Arabidopsis thaliana: one gene and its partner. The protein of the gene in region 1 interacts with the protein of each later gene in a biochemical or structural test. Each region holds a gene or a part of one and is shown in the gene's direction. Other genes may lie near its edges.

What was found. The genes of interacting proteins can lie anywhere in the genome.
Region 2: the proteins of LP1 (region 1) and CAM1 form a complex in vitro, tested with the Arabidopsis thaliana proteins (one study listed by BioGRID).

What each region holds. Positions count from the first base shown.
Region 1 is NC_003071.7:16,126,486-16,133,360, forward strand, and holds LP1 (lipid transfer protein 1), read left to right. Parts: upstream 1-3,804; 5' UTR 3,805-3,932; coding exon 3,933-4,279; intron 4,280-4,398; coding exon 4,399-4,408; 3' UTR 4,409-4,755; downstream 4,756-6,875. Other genes in the region: LTP2 (lipid transfer protein 2), read left to right, coding at 1,996-2,342, 2,454-2,463; AT2G38550 (Transmembrane proteins 14C), read left to right, coding at 5,693-5,935, 6,182-6,572, 6,658-6,825. UniProt on the Arabidopsis thaliana protein: Plant non-specific lipid-transfer proteins transfer phospholipids as well as galactolipids across membranes. May play a role in wax or cutin deposition in the cell walls of expanding epidermal cells and certain secretory tissues.
Region 2 is NC_003076.8:15,002,249-15,007,957, reverse strand, and holds CAM1 (calmodulin 1), read left to right. Parts: upstream 1-1,752; 5' UTR 1,753-1,840; coding exon 1,841-1,916; exon of another isoform or gene 1,917-2,028; coding exon of another isoform or gene 2,029-2,073; intron 2,074-2,533; coding exon 2,534-2,611; intron 2,612-2,815; coding exon 2,816-3,189; 3' UTR 3,190-3,431; downstream 3,432-5,709. UniProt on the Arabidopsis thaliana protein: Calmodulin mediates the control of a large number of enzymes, ion channels and other proteins by Ca(2+). Among the enzymes to be stimulated by the calmodulin-Ca(2+) complex are a number of protein kinases and phosphatases.

The sequences.
Region 1 (6,875 bases):
ATGGAAGGACGTGACACACCACCAAATGGATGTTTAACAAACAGTTGTGACGAAGATGGATGTTTTATCCAAATGGCTTTGAATAGTGTATAGAACAAGCAACAAGCCCGATTCGGCCCAAACCCAACCCCATTTAATCATATGTGGTTTTAGTAGTTTAAATAAGCTACTTTGAGTCTTTGACAACTGTTCTTCATATCCATCATAAATTGTGTAGCATTTTACATTTTACATTTTACGTTTGAAACTTAATCATAAGTTTTGTGAATCAAAGTTAATTGATAAAAAATCACTCTTAATACTTTTCCACGTCTACATCACTGTCATTTTCATTTCAGACTTGAGGCATTCATTTTTCACCATGTTTCAGGAAATATACTGCAATTTCTTACACGTATAGAGAGGTCCTTAATAAGTATGAGTAGCTATATCGTAATGTATTTATACCAATGTACTTTATGCTCACACGTGTTCGGTGTACATATAATATGTTGCATGTGGCATTTCGGTGCCTAATTATCAAGTTTTTACCGAAAATAAGGGAAAAGTATATAATCATGTAGCCTTTCAGACACCGACAAAAATTTTAAACAGTAAATACGATTTTTCTGTTCTTCTTAAACAGAAAATGATTAAACATGAATGAAACTTTTAAAAGCTTATTTTGACGACGTGTTCTTTAGCCAAATAGACGACATTTAAACACATCACCGGACCGGAAAAACACCAGTTGAAAATAAAATAAAAAATGTATTTGTAAAAGTCTGTTATTACAAGAAAATATGGTCGATCGTTCCATGTTTAATTGTGTTTCTTGACACTTTTTAGTTCTTATAAAACACCTTTACTACATAACTTGATAAGTTGGATGAGAATAAAGAATTATAATAGATTCTCATAAAAATAACTTTATAAGATATATTCTCTCTTATATATATATATATATATATATTATGAGATTTCCTAATCTAAAATAAAAATAAATGTAAATAATATATATAAATATTACTAAAACTAATATATGTTAATATTTTAAATCTTTCTACAATCTTTATGATTTTTATATTGTTCGACGATCATCTCAACCATTGACTCTCGATCTCCAACTACAGATAAAGTAAAATTTTACCAAAGAAAAGTCTAGTGACTCATCATACCAATAAAAAACACACAACACCTAGTTTTACCAAAATAAGACTAGAAATAGTACTATAGTAGTTATGGGACGATGGAGTGATGGTTTTGCAAAGCAAAAGCCAATAATTGTACATTTCAGGCCGAAACCGACAATGACCCCATCCTACCCATGTGTCATGCATTCAGTATTTATTATGTGTATCAGTCAAATTTTCACATAATGACGAACCATCTACATACAATCTATGGCGTGGCCTGTGGAGGGCAGGACAAACCGACATAATATTGTGTATATCCACTGAAATTTATTATTAAAAAAAACTAATACAATGATAAGTACTAGTATTAGTGATAAAAAAAACTTATACAACGTTGTTTTCATCTTACAATTAAAGATATTCATAAACGATAAATCTCTACTTCGAAATTTTTTAACATCTCCAAATGTTTGTTCAAGCTAGTAGTAGTCCACATAAAGTCACGTTGGGGTTTCAGGCTTTCGTTAAAGATTCACACCGTCGGATTGGGATTTCCAGACGTCACAGATAGACTTATCTTCTTCGTTAAATTTAGAATCCAAAGATTATTGTCTGCACACTCGTTATTATCTAAAACAGCCTTTTTTAGTTAAATTGACGATATTTTAGTGACATTCCAATTTTAAAATTCGTATGGGTCTACATTAAATGAGTACAGCGACCAACTACTCCTTCCCTCATAGTAGTATTTAGGTATTGCATTCACATTACATAAGATGTACTTTCCTACTCTATATAAACTCTCACTCCCCTAACACTCTTCATCATCCATCACATCTCCTCTTGCAAACCAACGTAAAACACTAACTAAGAGATCAATATGGCTGGAGTGATGAAGTTGGCATGCATGGTCTTGGCTTGCATGATTGTGGCCGGTCCAATCACAGCGAACGCGCTTATGAGTTGTGGCACCGTCAACGGCAACCTGGCAGGGTGCATTGCCTACTTGACCCGAGGTGCTCCACTTACCCAAGGGTGCTGCAACGGCGTTACTAACCTTAAAAACATGGCCAGTACAACCCCAGACCGTCAGCAAGCTTGCCGTTGCCTTCAATCTGCCGCTAAAGCCGTTGGTCCCGGTCTCAACACTGCCCGTGCAGCTGGACTTCCTAGCGCATGCAAAGTCAATATTCCTTACAAAATCAGCGCCAGCACCAACTGCAACACGTATGTGATCTTTTCACTCTTATAAGTATATGTTATAAATTTTTTAGTTTATTTTGTTAAATATTGGAAACTTATATTAACGTTGTTATGTTAATTTGTATGTGAATGCAGCGTGAGGTGATGAGCGACGGTCAAATGAAGCTACTAGCGGATGTTTCGAATATTATATAATCGATGAGATAATATTAAATAAAGATGTTCGAATGGCTGTACTCTTTTCAATTTCCTGTCTTTTTTTATCGTGGCGTTTCTATTATGTGATCGTCTGTACTATGTTCGCAAACAACGTTCTTTGAATTTCAGACTTGAAGTTTAAGTTATTCTATACTCTATATCTATACTAACACTTACTTTAGTTTAATCGATATGACCAAAATGATTAACTTGCATTACAGTTGGGAAGTATCAAGTAAACAACATTTTGTTTTTGTTTGATATCGGGAATCTCAAAACCAAAGTCCACACTAGTTTTTGGACTATATAATGATAAAAGTCAGATATCTACTAATACTAGTTGATCAGTATATTCGAAAACATGACTTTCCAAATGTAAGTTATTTACTTTTTTTTTGCTATTATAATTAAGATCAATAAAAATGTCTAAGTTTTAAATCTTTATCATTATATCCAAACAATCATAATCTTATTGTTAATCTCTCATCAACACACAGTTTTTAAAATAAATTAATTACCCTTTGCATGATACCGAAGAGAAACGAATTCGTTCAAATAATTTTATAACAGGAAATAAAATAGATAACCGAAATAAAGATAGAATGATTTCTTAGTACTAACTCTTAACAACAGTTTTATTTAAATGACTTTTGTAAAAAAAACAAAGTTAACTTATACACGTACACGTGTCGAAAATATTATTGACAATGGATAGCATGATTCTTATTAGAGTCATGTAAAAGATAAACACATGCAAATATATATATGAATAATATGTTGTTAAGATAAACTAGACGATTAGAATATATAGCACATCTATAGTTTGTAAAATAACTATTTCTCAACTAGACTTAAGTCTTCGAAATACATAAATAAACAAAACTATAAAAATTCAGAAAAAAACATGAGAGTACGTTAGTAAAATGTATTTTTTTGGTAAAATAATCACTTTTCATCAGGTCTTTTTGTAAAGCAGTTTTCATGTTAGATAAACGAGATTTTAATTTTTTTTAAAAAGAAGTAAACTAACTATGTTCCTATCTACACACCTATAATTTTGAAACAATTACAAAAACAAACAATGAAAATGCAAAGAAGGACGTAGGCACTGTCACACTACAAATACGTTAATAAAATGTATTTTGGTCGAATTATAACTTTCCATACGATAAAGTTGAATTAACATGTCAAACAAAAGAGATGAGTGGTCCTATACATAGTTAGGAATTAGGAACCTCTAAATTAAATGAGTACAACCACCAACTACTCCTTCCCTCTATAATCTATCGCATTCACACCACATAACATATACGTACCTACTCTATATAACACTCACTCCCCAAACTCTCTTCATCATCCATCACTACACACATCTCCTATTGCAAACGAACATAAAACACTACCTAAGAGATCAATATGGCTGGAGTGATGAAGTTGGCATGCTTGCTCTTGGCCTGCATGATTGTGGCCGGTCCAATCACATCGAACGCTGCGCTAAGCTGTGGCTCAGTTAACAGCAACTTGGCAGCGTGCATTGGCTACGTGCTCCAAGGTGGTGTCATTCCCCCAGCGTGTTGCTCCGGCGTTAAAAACCTCAACAGCATAGCCAAGACGACCCCAGACCGTCAGCAAGCTTGCAATTGCATTCAAGGTGCCGCTAGAGCCTTAGGCTCTGGTCTCAACGCTGGCCGTGCAGCTGGAATTCCTAAGGCATGTGGAGTCAATATTCCTTACAAAATCAGCACCAGCACCAACTGCAAAACGTATGTTAATCTCTCTCACTCTCTCAGATATTTAAGCTATAATTTGTTTCTTTTTGGGGTTAAATATTCGAAAGGTTATATTAACGGTGTTATATTAATTTGTATATATGTGGTTGCAGCGTGAGGTGATGAGCTAGCAACGGTGAGATGATGCTACTACCGGAAGTTTCGAATCCTTATTATATAATGGATGAGATTAATATTAAATAAGATGTTCGAATGTTTGTTTTTAGAGTTTTTAATTTCTTGTCTTTTTCTATTGTGGTGTTCTTGTTATATGGGTTTGTCTGTACTATGTTCGCAGGCAACAACGTTATATGAAATTTCAGAGTACTTGAAGTTTAAGTTTTTCTATATTCTTACTTATTAAATCTTGCATTAGTTTAATCGATATGAAACTGATTAATCAATATCGAGTATGGCAACATTTTGTGTAATAACGGAAATCTGAGGACCAAAATCCACACTAATTTTCGGATTTGTGAAAAGCTAAATATTCGTCAATAATTGGGGACGTGATGGAACCAATTTATAAGAGGAAATAAAGTAACTCCAAGTTTCTATTTCCACAAAAGGATATAATCTCCAAGTTTGTAGTAATATTGAACACGTGTTTAGATAACCGAGAAAAAGATGGATTGGTTCCATAATTAGTGTTAAAAACTCTTTAACCCCAAATTCATGAAAAACCAAAGTTTAGTTATAGAGACATACGTACACGTGTTCAAAGAAAATTATTGGCGATGGAAAATTGGGTGTATCTGCATTTTCGTCATTACCGTCCTTTACATGGAATTTTGGTAGATCCTGCTTTAAATGCCTTCACTTCTGCTTCTCCCAACCATAATAAATTGATATGGATGCGATCCATTGGTATTTGGTAGATAGATGGTATTATTGTCCCCTCTTAATGGATTTCTTTTTAATTTTAAATATCTAAATTTTGCCTGAACTATACATAAATTCCGTAACTATGTCTATAATTATCATCTCATTGTTTCAAAGTGATACTTTTCTTCTGCAAACAATAAAATTGTTGAAGTCAGTTGTTGACTCAAGGTTTATTAGAACAAAAGTCAGGTTTTTAGCTCATTAAAGTCAACCGGATAAAGACGACCGGTCTAATTCGGTTTGGGATTTAGAAAGACTCTATATCGCTCAGAGGGTCTAACGCAGACGCTTTTCAACTTTCGAGATATTTTTCTTAGGTATATATTTCCAAATGTTACGGCGTCGTTTTCAAAAACATATTTTTGTTGTTGCGTAGTAGTCCTTCGGAAATTCTTTGCTTCCTAGTTGAAGCACTCACAACACACAGCTTTTGTAGGAATCCCTAAGCTTAAAGTCTCTATTATTCTCTAATCTCTTCTTCGCCGACGACTTCTCTCACCAAGGCGACGTTTTGATCAGGCGATGATGAGTATCCCAATGGAGTTAATGTCTATCAGAAACCCTAATTCCACCTTGCTCTATAGAGCTCACTCTCGTCCGCCTGTGAAGCTCTGTGCTCCACCTCGTTCTCTCCTCCCTAGCCGACGCCATTTCAGTGCTCCTCGAGCTGTTGTTTCGTATCCAGGAATACGTTTCGGCTTTACCTCGCCGGAAGTCTTGCTTAATCGATCCGTCGTTGCTTTCGCTGCATCCCACGAGGATTCGGTGAGTAGTGTGGTTGTGCTCAAAACTTCTAATTTCTCTGTTGGGTATCTCGAAATTCAGATGCTTTATCTTGTAAATTGCTTGAGGCTAGAAAAAAATTGGACTTTGGTGAAATTTATTTGATTAAGCAATATAATCTGCCAATTTCAAGTGAGGTGCAATTTGGGGTTTGAAATTATCAAATGATCTGTGATTAGCTAAAGAACATGTTTTGATTATTACCCTTTATCGCCATTGTTCAAATAGGGAGAATCAGGTGTTGAGGTGGGGAAGGAGAAGAGTGATATAGATGTTGAAGATGATACATCTAAGGAAGCATGGAAACAAACTCTTGAGTCTTTTAAAGAGCAGGTATCAAAGATGCAGAGTGTGTCATCGGAGGCATACTCCGTTAACTCCCAAAAGGCGATGACGGTCTTGAAAGAAACTTCTGAACAACTTAGGATTCAAGCGGAAAAGGCGAAAGAAGAGTTGGGTACTAAAGCGAAAGTGGTTAGTGAAGAGGGTAGAGAATATATTTTGAAAGCAGCAGAAGAATCTCCATCAGATGTGAAAGAGATTGTTGAAGCATTTGCCTCCACTGAGGATCTGAAAAATGTGTCCCGAGCGAATGATTTTCATGTTGGAATACCTTATGGTAAACATGTTGTATATCTTGTTCATCTTTTGTAAGCTTTCATTGTTCGTGAGTAACGGGATAACAATGTTTGTATACTTTACAGGTCTACTCTTGCTTGTGGGTGGTTTTATTAACTTCATGGTATCGGGAAGCATTCCGGCCATCAGGTTTGGAGTCATTCTTGGTGGAGCCCTTTTTGCACTGAGCCTGGCAAGTCTAAAGTCTCATAGGAAAGGAGAGTCATCTACAAAGTTCTTAAAAGGACAGATGGGTTAGTAAAGTTTTTCAATCTGTATTAACCCTTTCTCATATCATTCACAA
Region 2 (5,709 bases), on another chromosome or scaffold:
TCGACCATTAGTTCAACATATAGAGATGATATCAATGAATCGTCTATCGATTCTCCTTTTTGTTTTCGCCTTTGGTCTTACCATGATGAGTAACACAGCCTTATCGTACAAACATTCCGTGTGGATCAGAAACTTTCTTCATGAAAAAAACGATCTCATAATCCATTGCAAATCCACGAACCATGATATGGTATACCATAGGTTGCATCCAACAGGATCGTACCATCTGCTAGTTGATGATGATTCCGACTATTTTTGGTGTCATTTATGGCAAGGACCTAATTTCAAGCATCACCAAGTTTTTGGTGTTAACCATGGAGACGTATGGGAAGCTAGGGAAGACGGAATCTACTTCTCGCAGATAAAATATGCTCGAGATCTCCGTCAGCATGTGTTCATGTATGGGTGGAATGTTCCTTTGACCTTGTCAAGAGCTTCCTCGTTGGGATTGTGTTGTGTCTCTTTAAGCTTATTACTCTCTTCCTTGGTTTTGTTTTATTTTTATCTAGTTTTAGTTTTGAAATTTATTTTTTTTATTATGAATTTTAAAAATTTAATTTTTATTTGTGTTGGAATTTTTTTATTTTCTTTGTAACCTATATGAACTTGGATATTTTTTTTCTTTCTTACATTAATTAAGTACGTAAGTTTCGACAATCAAGAATAGGGTTTTGTTGATTCCAATCGTGTTACCCAAAAATTAGAATAAGGTTTGTCCAACAATTTATTAAATTTGGTCTTAGAGTTGTATACGAGCCTACGAGGTATCTTTTAGATATGCCGAAGAGATGGTAGTGCGAAGAAGAAAAGAAACCTCATTTTCCATGGTATTAAGGATTTCAAGCTATTCAAACTTTTGTAGTGACCCAAATACGTGTAGAACTGGCCCAAAGACAAATAGCTTAATTAAGATTATCACCTAATCTTAGGTATTGGTGATAGGTGATTCGCTCAAGCCTTATGATCAATATTAGCTCCATATTATGGAGAGTGAGCAGCACATACTCGTAGATAGAAAAGTATTGTTGCTCGAGTAATATTTTTCTGATGATAATTGTGTTTCGACCACTGTTGGCATCTTTCACACATGAATACATGATGTACATGTACGACATGCAATCTTTCTCTTAACGCTCGACTGCTGTCTGCTGTGATGGATCATCACAAGTAAACTTTGTGAAGCATATTTCGTGAGCCAAATGATGTTAGAAAACAATCGTGTGAGCCAAAGGCGTGAGAGCGCTTGTAGAAAGTGGTTTATGTTGTAGTTAAAATAATCCGAATATTCATCTTCCGGAAAAAAGTGAAGTTCAACCTCTCAACGGTACGTTTTTATACCTCAACTAAGTTACATTGTGTATATCAACATCAGCTAACTTTTTATTAATATTTCGGTTCACAATATCATTATCTTTTTCAAAATTTATTAAGATTTCTTTTGCTCATTTTATTTATGTGAATTTTAAAAATAAAATAATTTTTATAATATAGAAACAAAATATTACTAAAAGTAATTTTTAAAAAATAAATAAAATTAATGTCATATCAACGAAAAATTCATAGTTTATTAAAGTAGTAAATATAAAAGTAATAATATTTTAATTATTTTGGTATTAAATTATACACTTTTATTAATATATGTATTTTCTTCTAAAAATTAAAAATTAATTGGGTTTTTGTTTGGAATTTTTCCGACTTACCTTTTCTCCTTCTTTTTGTCGTTTTGCTTAGATATTTGTTTGCATCATTTTCAAAGAGAGACGACTCTGAATCCAAAAAAAAAAAAAACTCATTAAGTAAAGACAAAGGAAGAGAAGAAAGACGATTTCTCGAAGAAGCTATGGCGGATCAACTCACTGACGAACAGATCTCCGAATTCAAGGAAGCTTTTAGCCTCTTCGACAAAGATGGCGATGGTTAGATTACCTCTTCTTTTACGCCTTTGATGGTTACATTACTGGATCTCGGTTTTTTTTCCATTTTCGTCTTCTATCGATGATTTAGAACGGTGTATCTCGTCCTCCCGAGCTTTGAATATGTGTTTATTAGTCGCTAATCTCTTTAGATTCGGAGGTATTGACCTTGTCGTTTGATCTGTTTTTGATCTTTGACCGAGTAGTTTCGCTTTTTGATCTTCGATGGCTTTTTGTATATGATTGAATCGATTTAATAGCTTGCTTGTTGTCCTGTTTCGTTGATTTGCTAGCTTGGATCTGATTTATTTTTTCGTCTCTTACGTTTTGTTTGATTTTTCATCTTCCATGATTGTTTTGGTCGTATGTGTTTTCGAGTTTGCTCTTAGTTGATAAAGAATCTGCTATCTTTTTTTCTTCGAAGTTGTTAATTATCTGAGTTTTTTTTTGTGTTCTCAACAATTCTACCAAAGAATGGGAAAAAACTATGTGCTTAAATGTGATTTCGAATCTTTTAGAAGCTTTGATGGTTCTTCTTGATCTCTCTAGGTAGGTTTCAAGGTCATGTTGCTCAGATTTTCTCTTGATTTCTGAGTTGTTTGTTATACTAGTTGATGTAGTGTTTGTTCTCTCTGATCTAGGATTTGATTTCAAAAGATTATCAAATTGTTTGGAAACTACTCCTGAATTGTCTCATGGTTATATCCTGCTTATAGTAGCTCAATTTGTGTAGATTTGTTTGTTCACTCTTTAAGAGATAAGCAAAAGATGTTCATTCGCTTTTGCATCTATCATTGCTTTTACCCATGACAAAACTGCTTTATCATTGCTTCCATTGAGCATTTGAGTATAATATGTGATGGGTTCTAAAATGTAATGCTCTCTTAATTGTGGTTACACAGGTTGCATCACAACAAAAGAGCTGGGAACAGTTATGCGTTCACTAGGACAAAACCCAACAGAGGCTGAGCTCCAAGACATGATCAACGAGGTTGATGCAGATGGAAACGGCACTATCGACTTCCCCGAGTTCCTGAACCTGATGGCTAAGAAGATGAAAGACACTGACTCCGAGGAAGAGCTAAAAGAAGCCTTCAGGGTTTTCGACAAAGACCAGAACGGTTTCATCTCCGCTGCTGAGCTACGCCATGTGATGACCAATCTTGGTGAGAAGCTAACTGATGAAGAAGTGGAAGAGATGATCCGTGAGGCTGATGTTGATGGAGATGGTCAGATTAACTATGAAGAGTTTGTCAAGATTATGATGGCTAAGTGATTTGATAAAGGTGATGATGATGATGATGATGACCTTTTTATGCTTCTAGGAGTTTAACCAAAAACATTTGCATGATTGGTGGAGATATGCTTTTAAACAGACATAATTTGTTTTTCGTTCTTTTGATTTTCTGGTTTGTGACTTTTGTGTGTAATGGAAAATCAAGTAAGTTGGATTGAAACCGATGGGTTGGGTTTTTACTTTTTACCCACATTTTGTTGCTTTTTTGGTTTTACAAAAAAAGAAGAAGATAAGAAATAGAGATGAAAAATATGGCTTTAAGCTGAAAAAATTAAGTACTAGTTAAAATTATAGTTATATTAAAATGTTCTCTTTCTGATTTACTGTTTTAATCATTTGAGCCACTCGTCTGAACTGTACGTCTCTATACGTGTGTACGTTAGCCACAAAGAAAATGATTCGCGGGCAATCACTTCCAAATTTGTGTCTAATCAAACTTTTAATTTTCATACGACAAACAGAGGTCGCTGAAAATTTAGTTTTAAGTATAAAGTGCTTTTCTTTTGTCAATTAGTTTTAGTATAAAGTGCTTTAGTGTATTATTTATTTGGATACCAAGTTGAAAATTGATGTTGGACTAATAGGAAAATGACACATGTAAAAACACGAGGTTGGTATTATGCCATTGGCCACCATAAATTGTCGTGAAGTAGTAAATTTCAAGACAAGTTTTAAATTAAGATTTTGAACAATACATTCATATTTTTAGTAACTTGTTATTTATACTTAGACTATATAATTAAGTATTCGATCTATTTAAATTTATATTAAGACATTATTTCCCAAAAAGTGTGAGAAATCATATATATGACAGGAGCTCAACTCTCTCCCACAATATTACACATCAGCACATGAAAGGAGAGGTTGCCACCTACACTTCTTAAAATAAGTAATACATAATTAGTAATTAATTCAACATATGAACCTATCATAAGTCAGAACTTCAACCATCACTCTTTCTATATTTTTTAATTTAATATATCTTCTTTTATTTTTTTAGGCATTTGGGTAGAGAATATGATGAGTACATTTTTGGGAATTTTTACGGTATATTACCATAATGTTTTCATAATATTTTTCTCAACATGTATTAGAAAAATTCGAATGTTGTGGTAACAGAATTGGCCGTATTGTTAGAATGTGGGAAGTTCATACCGGAAATACGTTCTGCCAACGACCGTGATGTATTCCTTGAAAACTCACTCTTCCTGCTAGATGAGAAGGTATAATTGTCCAATGACTAACATATCAATTTATTTTTCTAACATAAATCTCATATCACACTCATCATATATCTATCTTCTCATCTTTCTAAACAGAATTCCTTAATTCGTTGCTTCATTCCTTCATCACTTGTTGAAAAATACAATAGTATTTTCCAAGAAGGAATGATCTTACAAAAATAAATACAATAGTATTCTTTCATCATTCCTTCACTATGTTGCACTGGTAATACAATAGCCTTCGTGGCGTCACAGTAATTTATACTTGCATTATCCACACACATTACAACTCATATTTAAACTATAAAAAAATTAAGTTAATGTGGGAACAACTATGCACTATACTATTGTCAAAAAAATTACGCCATTTGATATAAGTTCTTAAAAACAAACAATTATCTTACGTCATAACTAAAAAGTTACCTGTTAGTATTGTAATATCAGAAGTAATTATAAAAAAAGACCAAAAAAAAACTCAAACACATTGTATCCACAATTAAAAGAAAATGTATTGTTTTGTTAGTATGGAGTGTAACACAAATTATATATAAAATATATATTCGATCAGTATGTCATGTTTATTTAGGAACAAAATTTACCTCATTTAGAATTAATAACTGTATTACTTTATTCAAGTTATTAGCGGAAGAATGGACGCTCCAGAGCCTTAGAACACCTTCAATGGGGGTTTCTAAAAATGTTTTTTAATAAATAATAAAAAATATATATGATTTAAATATTACATGAGTCTCTTAAATTTGATGAAATATAGGCCAATTGTCTCTTAGTTAAGAGATAATTTGTCTTACTTTCACCAAATTTAAGAAACCCATAATTAAAAATATTATTTATTTATACTTACACTTTATTTTTTTTAAGAGACTTAGGATTAAAAACTACCATTGAAGATGCTTTTAAAGTATGAATGTTTAGAAACTTACAACCCATCATGTGGTATTAAAAATGAGTAAATAAATCCACAATAAATCAAATACGCACGATTATAACTTAACTAACTCATTTATAATCTAGACGTTTAAAAAACCCTACAAAAATTCCCAATCAGAATAACGTATATACCCATTTCTAAACAATAATATCCATTTAAGAAAAATAAATACTCTTTCAAACTTCTAATCATTCCAACTAGAATATTACATAATGTAAATATTTATCTTTATATATATATGACACATATTCACTACCAAAATAGTTTAATCTTTGTAACCACCGTAAGAGTATCTAGAAAAGTAAGTCTCTCTTCTCAATAACTTTT